2 linked regions of the Canis lupus familiaris genome follow. The protein of the gene in region 2 interacts with the protein of the main gene of each other region in a biochemical or structural test. Links are inferred from orthologs where the notes say so. Each region holds a gene or a part of one and is shown on either strand. Other genes may lie near its edges.

Evidence for each region.
Region 1: the proteins of NUP153 (region 2) and SENP2 form a complex in vitro, tested with the Homo sapiens proteins (2 studies listed by BioGRID). The link is inferred for Canis lupus familiaris from reciprocal best matches to the Homo sapiens genes NUP153 and SENP2.

The regions. Positions count from the first base shown.
Region 1 is NC_049255.1:18,494,774-18,499,055, reverse strand, and holds the start of SENP2 (sentrin-specific protease 2), read right to left. Parts: upstream 2,891-4,282; 5' UTR 2,703-2,890; coding exon 2,602-2,702; intron 493-2,601; coding exon 437-492; intron 1-436. UniProt on the Homo sapiens protein: Protease that catalyzes two essential functions in the SUMO pathway.
Region 2 is NC_049256.1:17,831,465-17,835,278, forward strand, and holds part of NUP153 (nuclear pore complex protein Nup153), read right to left. Parts: intron 2,887-3,814; coding exon 2,530-2,886; intron 1,857-2,529; coding exon 1,584-1,856; intron 1-1,583. UniProt on the Homo sapiens protein: Component of the nuclear pore complex (NPC), a complex required for the trafficking across the nuclear envelope. Functions as a scaffolding element in the nuclear phase of the NPC essential for normal nucleocytoplasmic transport of proteins and mRNAs.

The sequences.
Region 1 (4,282 bases), on a different chromosome or scaffold from region 2:
ATAGCACTCCATTGTGCCTTTCTCCTTTAATCTAGTTTTGTTCTCTTTTATCAAGCTACATCTAGCCCTCTGGATACAGAGAAGTAAATGATTTGGGGCAACACATTAGACTCATTCCCTCAGCTATGTGAACTAGATGACTCAGTTTGAAGTAGCTTTATACAATGTTTTCTCCTCAAAAATAAAAAGCACCTTTTCCGTATAGGAAGATTGAAAAATTTTAAATACATATTCAACATACACCTTTATTTATCTGGAAAGATACTCAAGTCCCTGTTAACAGTGTTTACCTCTAGAAAAGATAACTGAGTAGAAAAGGACAGGAAAGAGACTTAACTGTTCACTGTACATACTTTTTACCTTTGGAATTTTGTTCCATACATACACTTTTCCCACTTAAAAAAAATCTGATTTTTAAAATTATCATATTCAATACCTAATCTTGGTCTTTTGGCTGGTATTTCATCAGTGTCCACTGTAGAAAACAAAGTGCTGAAAAGAGAAGAAGAAAAAATATATATATATATATTTATATATACATACATACATTTCTATAAGTAAATCTAGTATGCATATAACACATCCTCTCTCTTCACTTTGTCAAAAAAAGAAATTCAAATCATGTTAGAAAACACTCCTCTATAGTAGGCCTCTACTATTTGAGGACTTAACGTTATTGTTTAAACTATTTGAAAGAGACCCAAAACTCCCTATTAAGTGATAATCTGTAATCTGGCTAAAGTACAAATTTGCAACTGGCCAGAAATCACCTGGGTAGTAAATGAACATAGGTAAGAGCCTAGGACTAGTATTTCCTTTTTCTCTCCAGAAGTGATTTTAAAATAACAATTTCCTTGGGGCAGCCCGGGTGGCTCAGCAGTTTACACCTGCCTTCGGCCCAGGGCGTGATCCTGGAGTCCCCGGATCGAGTCCCACATCGGGCTCCCTGCATGGAGCCTGCTTCTCCCTCTGCCTGTGTCTCTGCCTCTCTCTCTGTCTCTCTCATGAATAAATAAATAAAATCTTTAAAAAAAATTCCTTTTGAAAGATGACAACATAAGAAGCCTTAAAAGAGAATTCTAAGCCCAAAAAGGTCTTCTATTTAACTGCATTTCTATCATGGAAACTACATTACACTGGTAATAAAAAGCTGGGGAATTTGGGAAAGTTTCTGGACCTATTTAAAGATGATTATGATTGATCAGTTTCAAAAAAAAAAAAAGGAACAAAATAAATCCCAGGGGAATACCATTCAGTTCATAACTGTAAACATCCCAGTAAGATCTCCTGCCTTCATTTTGACCAGAAAAAAAAAAAAAAAAAAAAGGCTTACATTGTGAAAAACTGGTTTGACTAAGGATGTGTGGTAAAGAACAGAGTTTTGATCTCCAAATCATTGTTTCATCTATTTGAAAGCAGGGATTCACAGCAAAAAGAAAGGACAGGGGAGAGAGAATTAACACTCTCCCATTCAATAAATACGTACCAAGTGCCTATCATGCACCAGCCTTAGCACAAGGCCCCTGGGGTAGAATAAACAAATACTACCCTTATATATATTAAGCATCATTTTAGGCACTATACAACATGTTGTCAAATGACCCCCATTGTCAACCTCACAAAAAGGTAGAAAAGAACAGGTTGAAACCTTGGGCTCTCTAGAACACATGATGAAACTCAGCCAACAGCCAATTTCATCAATGACCTGCATTCTCAGACTCATGTATTCAATCATCTTGTTCTCTCAAGCTCCAAGAAACCAGTCTTCAACAATCTTGAGGCTTCATTTCTTTTTTTAAATGAAACTAACACTTGATCAGTAAAAGTTAATGGTGGGGTGTGTAGAACTGGTATGGTGTTTTATTCTCTAGATTAATTCTCAAGCAAAGGAGTACACGCCACGAAATGAGACAAGCCAAGGGGTTGATGCTAAACAAGAACAGCTTTTAGGTTCCCCCAAGATTTTGGCTGGATTTTACAACTAGTGATCTTTTTAAAAGAACGAGACTCCTAATTTTTCCCCCTCATACACTCCAACGTAGTGCCATCCTCCCTCCCTCCCCCGCAAAACACGTACACACACACACACAGCTTGACAGCTGTTTCGGAACAAAACAGCTGCTGTTTCTCGGTGCTAAAAGAACAATTCTTGCAGTCAAAACGGCTTTGGGCAAGCTATGAATCTCACTTGCCGCAGCTGCACTTATTGCCTACAGATGACACTCGGGAGTGTGCTTCGTAAACAGTGAACCACAGCACGGACAGTATTCGTTCAATTTTGAGTTTTCAACCTTAACAGGATACGATAAAGCCCCACTGGACAGCAACCAGCTTGGCCTCTCCCAAGAACGTCAAAGATCCTGACCATCACGGGCCACTCCAAAGACAACCAGCTCGGTCCATCACCAGGAGCGCATCCGCACAGCGTGGAGGGAGCGACTACGTCACCAGGGCACCCGCGACTCGCACCTCCACCGCCTGGGCCCCGCCAGCTGATTCGGCCGGGCAGGGCCTGCGGGGCTGGATCGGCGCTCTCCGGGCCGAGCCCCGGGTGGGGGAGGGGGTACAGCCAGCCTGGCGCTCGGCCCCCTCTCCTCTCACCTGTTCGAGCGCCGCCTCTTCAGGAGGGCCCGGGCAGGGGGCACCGGCCGGTCACAGAGACGGAAAATGGTGCCGAGAATCCTAACCAGCCATTTGTACATACCAGGCCCAAGCAGCAGCGGCGGCCGACACACCCCGAGACGCAAACCCCAGAGCTGTCGCCGCCGCTGCCGCCTTCGCCGCCTCGGCCACCACCGCCAAGGCTCAGTCGCCCACTTGTGACGCGATCGGAGGGCCCACAGATAAAACGTCCTGAGGGCTACAGGACGCCCCCCCCCATCCCCGCCTGCCACCACGCCTGACGTCACCTCCTCCCGCCCGACCGGAAAGCATCTTCGTCCTCAGTCTGCGCACGCGCAGCCCCACCCTCGCCCCCGCTCCTCCCGAACCTAGCAACCGGAATGCGTGCCGGAGACGCCGGTCCAATCGCTAACGAGCTCGCAAAGACTGTGGGCGGGGTTTTCTCTTCGGCGGAGCCAATCGCGAGTCCGCCCGCGGGACAAGGCCCACGCGCCGCACGTGAGGCTTCCGCACCCGGGGGGAGCGCTCCCGAGGCCTGCAACCGAGGAGGTGCTCAGTAAGCGTCTGTTGAGGGCACGGAATAAAGGTAGGTCAGGTCCATGAACAAGTATTTACCCTGCTGACCGCCCTTTAGTTTGCATGCACCTTACGTCTAGTTTTTCCGCAGGCGTGGTCACCTTCATTTATCCCAGCACCCCCAGGCGATGGGGAGGAGTCTTGTGCCCATTTTTAATAAACGAGGAAATCAAGCATAGAACGATTAAGTGATTTGCCAAAAATCATCAGGCTAACTAGTGGCGTGGCCCTTGAGGTGAGTCCCCTGGAAGAGACGTGATTACAAATTACAGGATAATTGTGTGCAAAGTGCGGTAGGCGCCAGAGAAAGGAAAACCACACCTTGGGGAGGAGTAGGGAAGGACGGAATTTAAGGCTGCGCGGAGACCTCAGGAGAGTCCTCCCCTGGGCTGGCAGGGAGTGCCCATTAGTTCTCTCTCTGTTACCTAGAGGTCACACTTCTGGTTAATTATCAACAAGAGAAAAAGTCCCACCCTGCATAGTGACTAGAAATTCGGGTCCCCTCTTCCAAACAGTCGTGGAATCCTTCTTTTCAAGCCCCACAAACCCATCCCTGACTGCAAACTTGACCCTTACCTACGATTGAGTTGAGGCCAGACTTCCAGGTTTGCTCGAACTTTAACCCAGGCACTCCCCATTGACAGCCTCGTCCTTTGCTGAGTAAAGTGTTCTGGAATTCTGGTGCAAGTCACCGCCCAGAGCTCCAGAACTACCAGCTACCCACCGGTGGCTATCACCACTCTGGAAGCAAATCCTAAATTGTGGATGTTGGCCCCTTTCTTTCATTCTCCAAAACAAAAGTTTGAGAACAGGGTTAGAAAGACCACAGGCTTTTTTTTTTTTAAGATTTTATTCATTTATTCATAAGAGACACTGAGAGAGAGAGAGAGAAGGGCAGAGACAGAGGCAGAGGGAGAAGCAAGCTCCATGCAGGGAGCCTGACGTGGGACTCAATCCTGGGTCTCCAGGATCACACCCTGGGCTGAAGGCGGCGCTGAACCGCTGAGCCACCCGGGCTGCCCCAGATTTTTTTTTTTTTTAAGACACTTTAATTTCCATCAACTTTATCCCACCCCGTTTGCCT
Region 2 (3,814 bases):
ATACATAAAACATTCCTGCACATCAGTGAGCAAAAGCAAAACTGAACCCAAAAAAATGGCTCAAAAAATCCTTATAGAAACAATTCACAAAAAATGAAATCCAGCAGAATCCAAATCTGAGAATCCTCATACAACGCAGTAGGATGTAAATGGGTACAATCCGTCAGGACAAGCTTGCGTTATTTTCTGCAGTATTGGATATGCATGCACACCTTTTAATCTGGCAGTCCCTCTCTTGGGTGTATATACCCTAGAAAAATATGCCCCAAGACACATACCCAAGAATGAGCAGAGGTACATTTCCTAAAAGGTAAAAACAACTCAAACACATTCGTGAACAGTATATGGATAAATTGTGATATGTTCATAAACAGATTGACTAACACAGTGAAGGAGAACAAACTATATGTAATAACATGGATCAACTTTACAAGTTAAGAGTGAAAGATGCAAGAAATCAAGAGACTTAATACAGTGAGATTCCATTTATATAGAATTAAAAATAAGACAATATGGTATTTTGTAGAGATTCATGTATCAGCAGTTAATTTTAAATTAAAACCCCAGGAAAGTGATCACTATAAAAGCCAGGACACATGAGAGCAAGGAGAGAGAGGTGTGTGATCACACAGGGACCCAGGAGGGGCTGCTGGCCATCCAAGCATCTGCTTCAACACCACACTGTTCCTTTATGTTTCATGCTTTTCTACATGAAGTCATATTTCAGTTAGAAAAATTAACATCGTGCAATTCTGAGGAACTATATCATCATAGTACAATGTGAGCAGCCATATTAAAAACAAAAAACAACAAAACAAAAAAAACCACAGAGGAATGTTTGTTTAAATATGCAAGTATCATCAAACAGAAAGCATCCTGGGTGCTTGGGCTATTCTGTCCCAGGAGAAAACTGGAGTGGAGGTATAACCTTCTGAAGTAAATCCAATCACAGTGGAGTGTTGGATTAGAAAATATGGCTAAAACTAGGCTGGAATGCTCCAAAAATCAGATGGGGAGAAACAGGACTGATCAATGCTGTTGAAACTAATACAACATGGTGTGTCATCAATACTTGAATAATAAAAATTTCAAAGAGTAAGAAATAACTACATTTTTAAAGAATGTAAATCAAAGAGTAAGAAATAACTACAAAGAGTAAGAAATCAAAGAGTAAGAAATAACTACATTTTTAAAGAATGTATTTTTTTAATTTATTTGACAGAAAGAGAGCACAAGCAGGGAGAGCGGGAGAAGGAGAAACAGGCTCCCAGCTGAGCAGGGAGCCCAGTGTGAGGCTTGATCCCAACACTCTGGGATCATGACCTGAGCCTAAAGAATACAATCAACTGAGCCCCCAGGCATGCCAAATCACATGCTTTAATACCTTATAGTGTGCTTCATTATATAAAAGTTGAGAATGTTGTTTACAGCAATGTCCAAACATCTATTTTTCTATTTCGCCAAGTACAAGAGACATTTAAAGAAAAAAGACATAAGCCTGGTTTCAAAATTCAAAAACCATCCTATTTAAGACACACAGATCCTAAGTACAGACACAAGCCATGTGACCAGCACACACTCACCGGAACTCGGAGCTGTTGCAGAGCCAAATGCAGACTGACCGGGCTGTTGTCCAAACACAGAAGGCTGGCTGCTGCTGGACACGGTCCCAAAAGTAGGTGGTGCAGGCTGAGAACCAGCAGAAAACAACGCTGCTGAAGAGGACAGAGCTCCAAAGCCTGGGGGATTAGGCTGGCTGGCACCTTGACTTTGTCCAAATGTCGGGGTTTGGTTAACACCAAATGCTGGACTGGCAGATGGTGCTGAAGGTCCAGTGCCAAATACAAAGGAGGATCCTAGAGGCCCAGAGAAACACTGATGTCACCTTAATAGCTACTAGGAGATAATTCTCAAGAAACATCTATACCTTCAGCGGCAAACTTCAAGCTTCTTTTCATACACTTACCTACCTGTACAAATCCCATCAAGGCAAGTTTTCAATAAATAATTAAGAATACAGTTCTTGCCATTATTTAGTGAAACCATACAGACAGAATGCACATACACAAAATCATCTACCTATTAACAAACCCACATCCACAGCCAAACTTTTTTTTAGGTAGAGGGCCCATCTAAGACAACAGGCGATAACTCATCAGATATCTAATAAAGAGCAGAAACCAACTAACGTTGTCATCCTGTATATACTACAGAATGAGGACTTTTGTCTAACGGAACGGTCCCCCAGTTTCTGGTTACTTAACAACATAACATTTCAAAAAGAACAGTGGAAAAAACCAACATGACATTCTTATTGAGACTAGAAAAATTCTTCCCAAGACTTAATTCTATTAAACCGAATACAAACTATACAGGATTCCATGCAGTGAACAGTTACAACATCCTGAGTAAAGAGGACCTAACGGCACCCAGGCCATTCTGTGAAAACCTGCTACGCTATTTGCTAAGAGAGGATATAATTCAAGCCAGTCCAACTACAACACGTATGTTGTTCTTCTGTCAAAGTACCTGCAGAGCTGGAGGTGGTTGTAGCTCCAAAACTGAAGCCAGAGGTGGCGGTGCTATTACTGCTGGCTCCAGGACCAAAGACAAATGGTGTGACAGCTGGGCCTGTGCTGGACGTGGTTGCTGGTTTGCTCTCTTGAGAGAACAGCAAAGGCTGAGATGCGCTGGATTCGGCAGAGTTCCCAAAGGCAGAGCTGCTCACAGGATTGCTGGCCTGTCCAAACACGAAGGCAGCCACAGGCGCGCTGGAGGAGGAGGTGGAGCTACCAAATATGCCCCCGGGGGCTGATGTTGCTGGTGCGCTCGAAGTGGAAGCACTGCTGTTCAAGAAGCTGAACACAGACTTCACTGCACCTGGATCTGAGAGACAGAAACGAAGGGGGAAACAAAAATCTGTAAGAAAAGGAGTCACAGAAAGCATTTCTTCCCACTCTCCAGCCCAGTAATTCATTAGAAAACAGAATCATTAGGCTTTTTTCATATAAATGTATTCATCAAATGGACATGTTATATTAAATTTTGATATAAAGCAAACATACCCATCTTTTCTTTGATGGCTTTTGGACTGTATCTTAGACCAGGCACACTTTCAGCATTCAGATTAATGAGAATAAAAAATATCACTTAAGTCCAACACATCTAACTGGAGGATATGTCCGGATAACTGTTCAGATAGTGGGAGACAGCTGTACTCTTCATTTTGCCATTTATGTTAGCAAAATCATAATTTATCCAACTGACAGCCACTTTTCTCTGCATTATTTACTGACAGTGCATCCTTCAACTCACTAATTGGTAACTCCACCTTTAGGACATACTAAATCTCCAAAATATGTGTGCATTTGTTTTCTCTACAGTTACTGTTACTAGACTGGTTTAATTATTGTAGCTTCATAGTATGGTTTGATATTAGAACAAACCTGTTTGTGTTCCTGCCCTTCTCTCCAAAATTTGTGCATTTTCCCTTCCATATAAATTTTAAAACAAGCTTATAGCTTGTCACACTCCACAAATTAAGGCTTCCAGCTATGGAAGGACTAGGTCACAAGGATCAAAGAGGGCACAGGGAACGAGTCTATGGTCCTGCACTAGCATCCTACGGTGACAGATGGGAGCTACTCTTGCAGTGAGCACAGCACAAACAACACACAGCTGTGTGATCACTACAGTGCACCTGAAACTAATGCAACATGTATGTCAACCACACTTCAACTACACAAAAAAACCAAGATTATGCTGGGGTGTTGGGAAGAATGCTCTCCCTCAGGAACAGGTATTAAATAGGTCT